Linked DNA regions of Rattus norvegicus. The protein of the gene in region 1 binds, or shares a complex with, the protein of each later gene. Links are inferred from orthologs where the notes say so. Each region holds a gene or a part of one and is shown on either strand. Other genes may lie near its edges.

The links.
Region 2: the proteins of Itch (region 1) and Arhgef7 are in contact, whole or in part, in a crystal structure (PDB 5SXP), measured with the Homo sapiens proteins. The link is inferred for Rattus norvegicus from reciprocal best matches to the Homo sapiens genes ITCH and ARHGEF7. Residues at the interface, in NP_001244066.1 of Homo sapiens: Arg252, Pro253, Pro254, Arg255, Pro256, Arg258, Pro259, Pro260, Pro261, Pro262, Thr263, Pro264, Arg266; in NP_001106983.1 of Homo sapiens: Phe193, Phe195, Thr198, Asp201, Glu202, Arg215, Glu217, Glu218, Gly219, Gly220, Trp221, Glu223, Thr230, Trp232, Pro234, Asn236, Tyr237.
Region 3: the proteins of Itch (region 1) and Txnip are in contact, whole or in part, in a crystal structure (PDB 5CQ2), measured with the Homo sapiens proteins. The link is inferred for Rattus norvegicus from reciprocal best matches to the Homo sapiens genes ITCH and TXNIP. Residues at the interface, in NP_001244066.1 of Homo sapiens: Glu485, Arg487, Thr489, Tyr495, Val497, Asp498, His499, Arg502, Thr503, Thr504, Thr505, Tyr506, Leu516; in NP_006463.3 of Homo sapiens: Pro328, Glu329, Ala330, Pro331, Pro332, Cys333, Tyr334, Val337, Ile338.

The regions. Positions count from the first base shown.
Region 1 is NC_086021.1:164,189,171-164,192,801, reverse strand, and holds part of Itch (E3 ubiquitin-protein ligase Itchy homolog), read right to left. Parts: intron 1,358-3,631; coding exon 1,258-1,357; 3' UTR 1-1,257. UniProt on the Homo sapiens protein: Acts as an Acts as an E3 ubiquitin-protein ligase which accepts ubiquitin from an E2 ubiquitin-conjugating enzyme in the form of a thioester and then directly transfers the ubiquitin to targeted substrates.
Region 2 is NC_086034.1:84,397,744-84,401,374, forward strand, and holds part of Arhgef7 (rho guanine nucleotide exchange factor 7), read right to left. Parts: intron 2,596-3,631; coding exon 2,457-2,595; intron 1,875-2,456; coding exon 1,815-1,874; intron 1,253-1,814; coding exon 1,106-1,252; intron 1-1,105. UniProt on the Homo sapiens protein: Acts as a RAC1 guanine nucleotide exchange factor (GEF) and can induce membrane ruffling. Functions in cell migration, attachment and cell spreading. Promotes targeting of RAC1 to focal adhesions. May function as a positive regulator of apoptosis.
Region 3 is NC_086020.1:186,780,518-186,784,838, forward strand, and holds the start of Txnip (thioredoxin-interacting protein), read left to right. Parts: upstream 1-1,415; 5' UTR 1,416-1,605; coding exon 1,606-1,855; intron 1,856-2,242; coding exon 2,243-2,315; intron 2,316-2,420; coding exon 2,421-2,568; intron 2,569-2,680; coding exon 2,681-2,783; intron 2,784-2,915; coding exon 2,916-3,172; intron 3,173-3,266; coding exon 3,267-3,423; intron 3,424-3,531; coding exon 3,532-3,683; intron 3,684-3,804; coding exon 3,805-3,849; 3' UTR 3,850-4,321. UniProt on the Homo sapiens protein: May act as an oxidative stress mediator by inhibiting thioredoxin activity or by limiting its bioavailability.

The DNA.
Region 1 (3,631 bases):
TAATAAGGCTGATTTTGGGATTTGGCTACAAAAGGGACTCAACTGGCTGAGGTTTCATCCTATTGCCCATAATGTCTATGGCGGCAGCCATCTTGACAGTCTAATGCTAAGCCAAGGTGAATTAACTACAGAGAAGGTCAAAGTGCATTCATCAGTTACTAAAGGAGCAGTCTAAGATAAATGAGTCATGGAAAGAAAAGGGAGATCTAAAATTTTTAGAGGTGAGAAAACTATTGCGGATCAGGACCTGAAGAAGGTAGAAACGGCTCCTGCTGTGTCAGGAGTGGAGTGTGAAGACAGCGCAGCTGTGTGGCTGCTGGATGCTGTTCTGACTGCAGACACTGCACCACTGAACTGACCTCCATCTGTGTTAGAAAATGGTTGCAATTTGAATATTTTAGCAAGGATGAAATGTAACTAAGGTGTTGGATTACATCAACACCATTAAGCTTTAATTTATGTGTAGAATTTAAAAATCAGGAATGATCTTACATGAATTCATCTGAACTTATTTTAATTCTAGATAAATTTCTAAAAACCGTGAGGGAGCCACAGTGCTGATACTGTCTGTAAGTATGGTTTCATATGTGCAAGGCAATAAACAATTACAAACTGAATGAAGAGAGGTATGAAGTCATATGTTGGCGGGGACCAAGTTTTCCCTGAATTCAAATAGACACAACTACTTTGTAGAGAAATGCAAGTCCTGCGTCACTTCCAGAAATAACAGCAGGATGGTGCACTGGTCATGCTTCAGGAATGAAAAACAACAGTCAGGCCAGGCTGAGAAGAGCGGGAGAGCACAAGCTGCAGCTGCTCGTGTGCCCAGACGCTGGGTTAAGCTTGCACCTCTTAGCTAGAGGCTTTACCAGGAAGACCTTGTGTACTGCAGTTTCTGAGATGTCCCTGCAAAGCCCTTTACAACAGCCACTAAGAGACCTGCGCCCAAGTGAGACTCCGGACAAACAGCAAACTGTTGTTAAGGGAACAATCTAGTGGAGTAAGACAGGGAGAATTCATCGCTGTGTTAAATCTCATGTTAAGTTTCTGACTACTGTTTGTAGATCTGCTTTCTGGAAACGTTGAGTAGAAATCCAGAATGACTGGAAGATCTCAACGATAACATTAATTTACTTACTCTCAGATAACTCTCTAGTCACAGTCCAAGTTTACAATAAGATGTGCAACAGGCAGAGAAGGAAAGGGACAGACACTGCAGACGAGTCCCTGGCCTCTGGTGGCCTAAGGTCTCAACAATTACTCTTGTCCAAATCCTTCTGTTTCTTCAATGGCAAATAACAGCTTTTCCTTCAGTTGCTCATAGCTCTTGTAGGGTGGGAGGTCCAGGCGGTTAAAACTGAAAGAAAGAATTGTTGGCTTGAGAAAAGGAAACTACAAAGATGCACAGGCAGTGCCCACAGCATCACTTCCGAGGTCTGACAATGTGTGATTAAACCACACAGCCTTCAAGAACTGCCTTTACCCTTCCAAGTGTCTTCTCTGGTAAACTGGGGCAGCAGCACCCACCACGGTGGTACAGTTAGAAACAGGCACACAGCACCTTGCAGGTACTTAGCAGACCCTCAGCAAATGCCAGTCTTCTCCTGCTGCTCCAACTACCCACTGTGGCCCAGTGGTCAGCAATCTTACTGTAAATGCAGGTGGTTTTAGGTGTATCATGTTAGAATACGAAATGAGGGACCAGCTGTGGTGGCGCAAGCCTTTAATCCCAACAACAAGAGGAAGGGGCAAATGGGCCTCTGTGTGTTTTAGGCTAGCCTGGTCTATGTAGGAAGATTTTGTCTCAAACAAAATCCATATAAACAAACTAAACTAAAATGATCCTCACCTAATACTCTGTTCCCTCTAGAGTCTCCTGTTCTGTTCTTAGCTGTGAATTTCTCCAGCAGAGCCATAGATTTTTTTTTAAAGCAGGGTCTGGTTTCTGTATGTTTCTTTTTTTTTTTTTTGTTCTTTTTTTCGGAGCTGGGGACCGAACCCAGGGCCTTGCGCTTCCTAGGCAGTCTGTATGTTTCTTGAGGCTGGGTCCCACAGTCCAGGCTGCCCTCCAGCTCACTGTATAGTTAGGGTGATTCAGGGCTTCCAGCCCTGCTGCCTTTACTTCCAAGCCCTGGAACTGCAGGCTTTATGCCGCCATCCCTGTCCTAAGTGTCCTCACATTTGTGCAATGCCATCTTCATAAGGTAGCAAGGAAGCTGCTCCTGAAGATGTTACTCATGAAGGAAGATAACTGAGCTTTGTTATCTCTTTGTCAGTATGTTTATGAAGAGCTGGTGAATTAAAACATACGTGTACAACATGAGTGCAAAACCAGTTATATTCTTAGATGGCTCAGCAGGTCAGATGACCCAAGTTATGTCCCTGAGACCCATGTGGTACAAATGAAGGAAATCCTTCATGGCCCTGCCATGTACAAATGTAGTAAGACATCTGCTTCATGTATCTGCTTGTCTGTGTTGATTGTGTACCACATGTGTGTGGTGCCTTTTTAGGCCAGAGAAGAAAGAGTGTCAGGGTCCCTGGAGCTAGAGTAGGTGGTGGTGGTCACCTAAGAAGCTGCTTTCAACCACCAAGCCATCGCTCTCTCCAGCTCATTTCAAAACAAGAAAAAGAAAAAAAGAAAAAACAAACAAAAAAAAAACCCTCCAAAAATCTCCCAAACTGAGCACAGGTCCACACCTTGCTAATAAACTCAGAATGTTAAGGATGAGGCAGAAGGATCCTGAGTTTAAGGTTGACCTGGGCTGCCTAATGAGACCCTACCTTAAACAAAAACCAACCAATTACTTCCTAGGCTGGTGAAATGGCTCAGCTGGGGAAGAGCTTGCTGCCTTGGGTCAGAAGGTGGAAGAAGAAACTGACTGTGTAGAGCATCCTGTGACTTCCTACCGCATGCTACTGCAGCGCCTCCACGCCCACAGACAGACATGCACACACTCAGATAGGCTCATGAATGTAAAAAGTGGCTTCCATTAAAACCACACTCCTTTCTGTAGTAGAACCAATTTTAATCTTGCCCCTGGCTAGCTTACAAACACGTGTAACTCGGACTATGGTTATTTTATTTGGCTTTGATAATTACTGAGGGGCAACCTTTAATCTGCTTCTCTAACTGCTGGCCTGGCCACCTCCCCACCCCAGCGGTGTCCCCTAGATGCCTGGTGTTTCTCCAGGCCTGCGCTAGTGCCACAGCCCATCTCCTCTCTGGTACTGTGTCCCCTCTCCCCATTCAGTCTTGGCCTCTAGCTTCTCCGCCTCCAACCAGGTAACTCAAAACCCACCTATCTTATTTAACCAACAGTTTTAAACTAGGAAACAAGGTTTGCACAACAAAAGCCTGTAACTGTGAGAATTCATTCACAGGCCTAGAGCTTAGGATACAGAATTTAGCATTACAATACAATACATAGCAACAGACCAAACCTCAACAGCTTTCTTAGTGTGAATCTGACTCCCTGCTGCTGCCAGTAGCCCCTACAAAGTCAACTGTGTGTCCCTAGGGGTATTGTACAAAATAAATAATTTACACCCCCCCCCAAAAAAAACCCCAAGAAACCATACATTAGTCATACAAACTGAGGGAAGGATCTGATTCCATACATAAAAAGTA
Region 2 (3,631 bases), on another chromosome or scaffold:
AAAAAAAAAAAAACAAAAAAAAAAAACATTTGCCTCAAAGTAACCAAGTCAAAGCGAACACAGAGATCTAAGAGGCGGAGTCCAGAGACTCTGAAGGACAGAGGCAGGCGTCCATCAGCATGAACCACTACCTTCAGATTCCCACGCACGCTCTTCACAACACCACATTCACTCAGAGGCTAGCCGGGATGAGGAAGGTGTGGATCCTAAGAAGCTGCTGAAACCTGCTGTGCTCTCTTGGAGGCACACAGGCATGGCAGCTCGGACTCTCTTTGGAGAGACGCCCACCACTGCTATGGAGACTCAGCACTTGGGAAGCGTCGCACAGTGATCTAATACAAAACTTAAGAGTCACTTATTAAGGGGCTGCAATGGCTCTGTGGTTAAGAGCACTGACTGATCTCCCAGAGGTCCCAAGTCTAATTCCCAGGACCACACAGCAGCTCACAACTGCCTGTAACTGCATTTCCAGGGGCCCAGACATCCTCTCCTGGTCTCTGTGGGCACTGCATGCACCTTGTACAAAAACATGCATGCAGATAAAACACCCACACACATAGAATCATTTGATTAAGGAACACGTTCTGAAAGGTTGTAGTGTTTCAGGTCAGTGTGATAACAGAATGGGACAATTTCTTCCAGTGCCCACACTATAATGTAGTGGGGGGTTGGGGAGAGGACTCTGAGCAAATTCTGTTTCTTCTTCAACCATTAAAAGCTAACATTTGGTGAAGAGGGATGTCACTTAACAAACCAGCAACAAAGCAGTGATCCCCATTAATAGACACCAGAATACACACAAGCTTTTCTGATAGGAAAAGCCTGAGCCAGGGCCATGCCAGTGTCTGTATAAGACACCTGGACACAATGAGAAACATACCAGTCTCTTCCGGTCTTGGGTGAACACGCTCTCAGTTCACACAGCTTTGGAACAAGCTGATCCTGGGGCATGGGACTGGCAACTGGCCCATGTGCTGTGAACTTTCTACCCATACCACAAGTTCCATGTTTGTCAGGGATAAAAAGTGGAGCACAAGTGACAGGCTCCTATATACACAGCCGCACGACACTCCTCTAGACCTGGACTGAAGGCGGGCCTCCATACCTCGCTTCCTGCACACTGAATTGTGACTTGGGACATGTATGTAACACTGCCCAACGTCTTTATGTCATCCCCCTCCCAGCTCCTGATGGGCTCTGTCAGGATCTGCAGCTCCAGCTCTTTCCTTTTTCGTACTTCTTGACACTGGGCCTGTGGGACACAGAACACAAGTGTTCAGAGATAGAAGCTTCCAGAACCTTGTTTTCACCACCCTGCTTCTGCTTATACAATTGTATTGTTCTGCACCAGCTGAATGTCTGCTAATTAAAGTCAGGCCAAGGGAGCGACACGTACTCCTGCTCTGGCTCCTTAGGCTTTACAGGCCTTTCTGTTAGGCTCGGGACAAGCAACACACAGTAAAGCAGGAGAGCACCTGCTCTGGTTCCATCAGGAACTGCCAGCAGAGAGGAAGGACAGCACGACTGGTGTCCTGGATGACTGAAGCACCCTGGACTTGGAGGCAAGGAGTCAAATGGGTTCACACATCTGCAGCACGAACTGCACTGTGTCCTCAGTTCTGGCTCTGGGGCCCGCAGTGCACTCGAGTGGGAGAGGTTCCTGCTTGAACGTTGCTATGCATGTCCTCATATCTCAGTAAACACTGCGCTTAACTCACAACTCACTCGTTACTGTGCATCCTTCCAGTTGGGTGCTAACCCAATATGCATTCATCATGAGAAGGTCAGAGAAAGTCATACGCTTAACCACTTACTGAAAGGTTTTTGAAGGCAGTCATAGATTTCTGAATATCTTGTCTATCAGGATGATAATCCTTTGGATAAAGAAAGATAGGATTAACTCTCACATCGAAAACACCCCACAGACATTTTGTTTCTCGGTGTGAGGCCTGTTTATCTTTTAAAGGATTACGGTGCCTAAAAGACTGGAGGGAAATTAATTTAAAACAGAACTTCCAAGAAGGGTCAGCGAGCCACGCTGTTTGGTAGGAGCCTCCCGAGGACATGGCCCCACAGTGCTTCCATCTCTGACAGCCCTGCCCTACAAGGCGGAGCTGAGAAACAGCATGAAGGCGTCTGCAGACACCCAGGAAAAGCAGCAGCAGACGTGCATGCTCTTAGCCCACACACAATCAGTGCCTCCCGTGTCACTCAGCATTCAGCCCTACTGCCTGTAACTAAATGCTGCGAGGACACCCAGCTCTATTTGAAAACTACGCTCTGCAGCTTTCTGGAGCCTTTACACGAGAAAGTAAAAAGACAGATCTTACTCCTAGGGCTGGAGGAGAAAATCTCCATGCTTAACAAAGTCCCCCTGAAACACCGCATTATGAACTCTGGACAAGCTCTAGGGTGGTTTCACAGACATAAGGGGTCAGATCAGAGAGCAGCTGAACCTCCATGTGTCTCTCCAGCTCCTTCAGCAGTGTGGGGTACTTGTCCAGGCGCATGAAGGGCTTGCTCAGGCCGGTAGTCAGCACCAGGATCCCAGGGCTGCTGGCACCTTTTGTCTCCATGAACTCTCCCAGGTCCTCACTGGGCAGCAGGGGCAAGGAGGGAGAGAGAAGAGGCTCCAGTTAGGAACACAGAGCAGAGCTCTGCTTCACAGCCAATTTCCTCTAAGATAAAATGGCCTGCTGTAATGGCTACAGCCAGATGTGCTGGTTACCATACAATGTGAAAAGTATCAAAATCACTCTCCCCTCAAGGCACATCTTTACCCTGGGCATGCCAGCTTCATGGAGACCATCACAAACTCAGAGGTCTCCAGAGAGCAAGCTGGTAAGAGCTGCAATAAACTGTCCCTGAGCCACAGAGACCTGTGTGAGGGTCGCCACACCCCAACGTGAAGCATGTGTGAGAGCTGGTGAACTGACACGTTCTCTGGGAGCAGCAGCAGCACACACAGAGCAGCACAGTACGACAGGGCTAGGCACACAGGCTCTGGCATGGGGAAGCCACGTCGCAGCACCACACCGTCTGCTCCGCACACAATGCACATGCCCAACATGTGGAGCATTAGTAAGTCTTCAACATTCTGCTCCCTTTTCACAGCCATCTTCAGGATTCAGCTGATGCTTTCTACAACAAGTTTCAACTGATAACCATTTCCCAGCATCCTTCATTTTTGCTGAACCCTTGACTGACGACATGTTTTCTCAGAGCTCACAATTGGGTTTGTTTTAGGTTTTGAGTCTTACTAAGACCGTTCTCTCCATCCCCATCCAGTCATCTTAAAGCACTGTGGGATGACTGAGATAAATACCTATTTACCAACTTCCTCTGAATGAGCAGCTGGTGGGGCACAGCCTAATAGAGGCTCTCCCTTTCAAGGGAGACACGTACCCAGCCATTACGTTATTCCAGGTTTACTGAAACGTCACAACCTGGTCACTGCAGGGAACTCACAGTACCCCGGCTCAGAACTCCTAAGAATGAGATGAAATTTAAAAGAGCCAAAGTAACTGCCTGGGATCTGCACACAGTGTTCTGGTGCCAGGAAAGCGAAAGTAACAAACCAGTGGAAAATATGTTCTAACAGAATAACTTATAAAATCCATACAGAACGGCT
Region 3 (4,321 bases), on another chromosome or scaffold:
ATAGATAAACGCCTAATAATTCTGCCCAAATATGGAAGGAGGCTAGGACTCAATGACAAGGCTCTGGCGGGGTGGAGGTGGGAGGAGGTGGGTGAGGAATAGGGTAGGGGCCCTGGGGTGTCAGGGAGTGGTGGGTAGTCCTTCAACATACAAGAGTTTCTTTGCACTCAAGTTATTTCTCTAGTCAGCTCCTGAAGCATTTCTCAGCAAGGTTTGCCAAATAGCCAAGTGAAACCAATACAGCTTCAGCCCTGGGGAGACTGAAACAGGCTGAGGGGTATGCATTTCATTTAGTGATTTTGATGAGAGGACAAATGGGGAAAAAAAAAAAGAGTGACAGGAACTCGGGAACAAAGTAAGGAGTGACAGATCGTTTTCTTCCTTTTTCTTCCCCCCTGTTTGTTTGTTTGTACCCACCCCTTGTTTCCTGGAGGAGCAGGGACGAAGGGAGAGATCAGTGTAAAGGTACACACCTCACTAAAGCTACAGTGAGGTAAATAAGGGAACATATACAAAATGTTCCCCAACCTCACAGGTACACTGAAGAGATGAGGGGATAAGCAACAGGATGTGGACACTCCCTTACTGCTTCCGTTCCAGAGAACAGAACAGAATAGAACGTAATGGGCGAGGAACAATAGCAGCACATAGGGCATGGAACGAAGGGGTACACACCAGACCATGTACCAATAAGGACTTTAAGCCAGACTTAAAATATCTGACAAGTCCCCCGCCCCCGGGAGATGGAAGCGTTTTATTCAATAGAAGTGTAATGGGAGCACATCGGGTAGGCTCTTTCTCACTAACACAACTGCACTCTCGCCCTCCGCTCCATCCTGAAGTATCCTTGGGGATTGTTTTTCACAGACTTGCGAACTTGTGAGCCAGGAATAAATGGTCACGTCGAAATGAATTGCGCTGGCTAAGACAGGCATGAAATCCTCTCCTAAGCACATTTTTCTTTTACCTAAAAAAAGAAGGGGAAAAAAACCAACAAAGCACACACCCAAACAACCCAGCTCCCGAGAGGAGTACCCTGGATGAGGTTCAGGGTCTCGGGGTCCCAGACTCCCGAGGGAGCCACCCGCTGCCCCAGGCCCCGCCCCTCCTCCCTGGCAAGGCTGCGCACCCGAACAACAACCATTTTCCCCGCTAAGAGCACACTGTGTCCACGCGCCTCTGCGGCCTCGCTGATTGGTTAGAGGCCTGGTAAACAAGGACCAAGTAGCCAATGGGAGAACTGTGCACGAGGGATGCACGAGCCTCCGGGCCAGCACTCGCGTGGAGCGTCAAGCCAGGCGGCTATATAATGCCGTTTCCGGCTCCCGCTTGACACTCTCCTCTTCTGGTCTTTGGATATCCAGAGTTCCTCCAGTTGCGAGAAAACAGCTGTTATTTTTCTCCTGAAAGCTTTTGGCACAACCAGCTGGTTGAAACTTTCAGGCACCTTTTAGAGAAGTTGTTAAGGTTTTGTTTGAGGCTTTCTTTGGGTTTTTAAGCCCTCTCTGCCTCACGGAGAGACTTAAGTTCTTAGTTTGCTGAGAAGGATTCTGAAGAGTTTTTCCTCTCCGGCTTCCGTTTTTCTTGAACCCACTCGGCTCAATCATGGTGATGTTCAAGAAGATCAAGTCTTTTGAGGTGGTCTTCAACGACCCTGAGAAGGTGTATGGCAGCGGGGAGAAGGTGGCCGGCCGGGTGACAGTGGAAGTGTGTGAAGTTACCCGAGTCAAAGCCGTCAGGATCCTGGCTTGCGGTGTGGCCAAGGTCCTGTGGATGCAAGGGTCTCAGCAGTGCAAACAGACCTTGGACTACTTGCGCTATGAAGACACCCTTCTCCTAGAAGACCAGCCTACAGGTACAGCTCTTGGCAGGACGGATAGTGACTTATGGGGCTGGGGGTGGGGCCTCCACTAAATGTTTCGAGTCGATCGTTTGAATGGTTTGAGCTGTTGGCCCCTATATTTTTACCTTTTAATTTGCAAGTTATTCCGCTACCCTCCTCCACCCCCCATAGTAATTGGAACAGTTTCTGGGGTGCTGTTTCCTGAAGGTGTTGCCTTAGCTACGTAAAGATTAATGTATTCGTGGGTTGTGCAACTTTCTGTCCCGGGGAATCTTATTCCTTAGTGTGAGAGATGAAAGTGTGGAAGTAAGACAGTCTGCTGCCCAGGCACTCCTCACTGATGCTGCATTTGGAATGTAACAAGAAGTCTAATGGCCCCTTGCCTTTGTTTCCCCGCAGGTGAGAACGAGATGGTGATCATGAGACCAGGAAACAAATATGAGTACAAGTTCGGCTTTGAGCTTCCTCAAGGGTAGGCATCACCGACCGCACCATGGACTCTTTATTTCTAAGTCTTCCCCCTCCATTGATATTTCACATTTCTTAGCATTAATTTTTGTTCATTGTTTTGACACAGGCCCCTGGGAACATCCTTCAAAGGGAAATATGGCTGTGTAGACTACTGGGTGAAGGCTTTTCTCGATCGTCCCAGCCAGCCAACTCAAGAGGCAAAGAAAAACTTTGAAGTGATGGATCTAGTGGACGTCAATACTCCTGACTTAATGGTGAGGCTTTTTTCTTTTATTTTCTTTAAGGTTTTATTCTCCTTGGTCAGAGATAATGAATTAGATGCATGAGGCATTGAAATAGCTCAAAACATTATTTCCTTCTTCACAGGCACCAGTGTCTGCCAAAAAGGAGAAGAAAGTTTCCTGCATGTTCATTCCTGATGGACGCGTGTCAGTCTCCGCTCGAATCGACAGAAAAGGATTCTGTGAAGGTAAAAGCCCAGTGCTTATAATACCAGATAGGATAGCCACAGCTGTGGGGTTTGGAGGGGGTTGTGGGATAAAGGCGGAGGAAATGCTGTTAAATTTAATGGATATTCTTCCTTCCTCCTCTTCAACTCTAGGTGATGACATTTCCATCCACGCTGACTTTGAGAACACATGTTCCCGAATCGTGGTCCCCAAAGCAGCTATTGTGGCCCGGCACACTTACCTTGCCAATGGCCAGACCAAAGTGCTCACTCAGAAGCTGTCCTCAGTCAGAGGCAATCACATTATCTCAGGGACTTGCGCATCATGGCGTGGCAAGAGTCTCCGAGTGCAGAAGATCAGACCGTCCATTCTGGGCTGCAACATCCTCAGAGTTGAATACTCCTTGCTGGTGAGTGAGGAGGGAAGAGAAATAGTTGCTTGGGTGCAAAGTCAGTGCCTCCTCTAACACAACCCATCTAACAAACTCCCACCTTCCTTCCTAGATCTATGTTAGTGTCCCTGGCTCCAAGAAAGTCATCCTCGATCTGCCCCTAGTGATTGGCAGCAGGTCGGGCCTAAGCAGCCGGACATCCAGCATGGCTAGCCGGACAAGCTCTGAAATGAGCTGGATAGACCTAAACATCCCAGACACCCCAGAAGGTAAGCTTCAGCTAATAAACTCTTCGTTTTGACCTGCTTGGGCTTGTGGAGTTGGGGTGGCCTGGGAGTTTCTTAGCTGGACTTCTGACCCCGTTTTCTCTTTTTCAGCTCCACCTTGCTATATGGACGTGATTCCTGAAGATCACAGACTGGAGAGCCCCACCACCCCCCTGCTAGATGATGTGGATGATTCTCAAGACAGCCCTATCTTTATGTACGCCCCCGAGTTCCAGTTCATGCCTCCGCCCACTTACACTGAGGTGAGAGTCACTACTTTTTTTTAAGGGTCAAGATTTTGTCCTAGGCCTTCTGAGGGAAGGGATTCGTGTGGGTTTTCTACTTACCTAAAAAATCTGAAAGTCTCCTCGCTCTTCCCCCTAGGTGGATCCCTGCGTCCTTAACAACAACAACAACAACGTGCAGTGAGCCTTCAGGGACGACTCATCTGTACTACTCAACGCTTTCTGCCTCTCTGCTTGAACTCCAATGTTTCAGAGACTCAGTCTCTCCAGTGGGGAGTGGGTACACCCCCGCCTCTGACTCCACAGATGGGTGGCAATCAGTAGGCAAGTCTCCAGCCTCAAGGGGTGCAGACCAGTGCCCGCACCGTGATATAGGAGTGTTTGCTGGGTGAATGTCGGAACGCTCAAAACATTCAGACCTGGCCCACTTTCCCAGATGTTGGAAATGAAGAAGTTGTTATTTTTTTGAGTCGGGGTCTAAGTGACCTTCAGGCATGGTCTTTCCAAGGTGTTTTGTTTTGAAGGGAATTAAAAGAACAGACCATGAACTTCTGTGCCATGGGGCAACAGAGCCAATGTCACATACTAGAAAAAGAGAAATCATGGCCAATATTTTGAAAGCGAGGAGTGTTTTTGTTTTTTAAAATCAGTGTTCC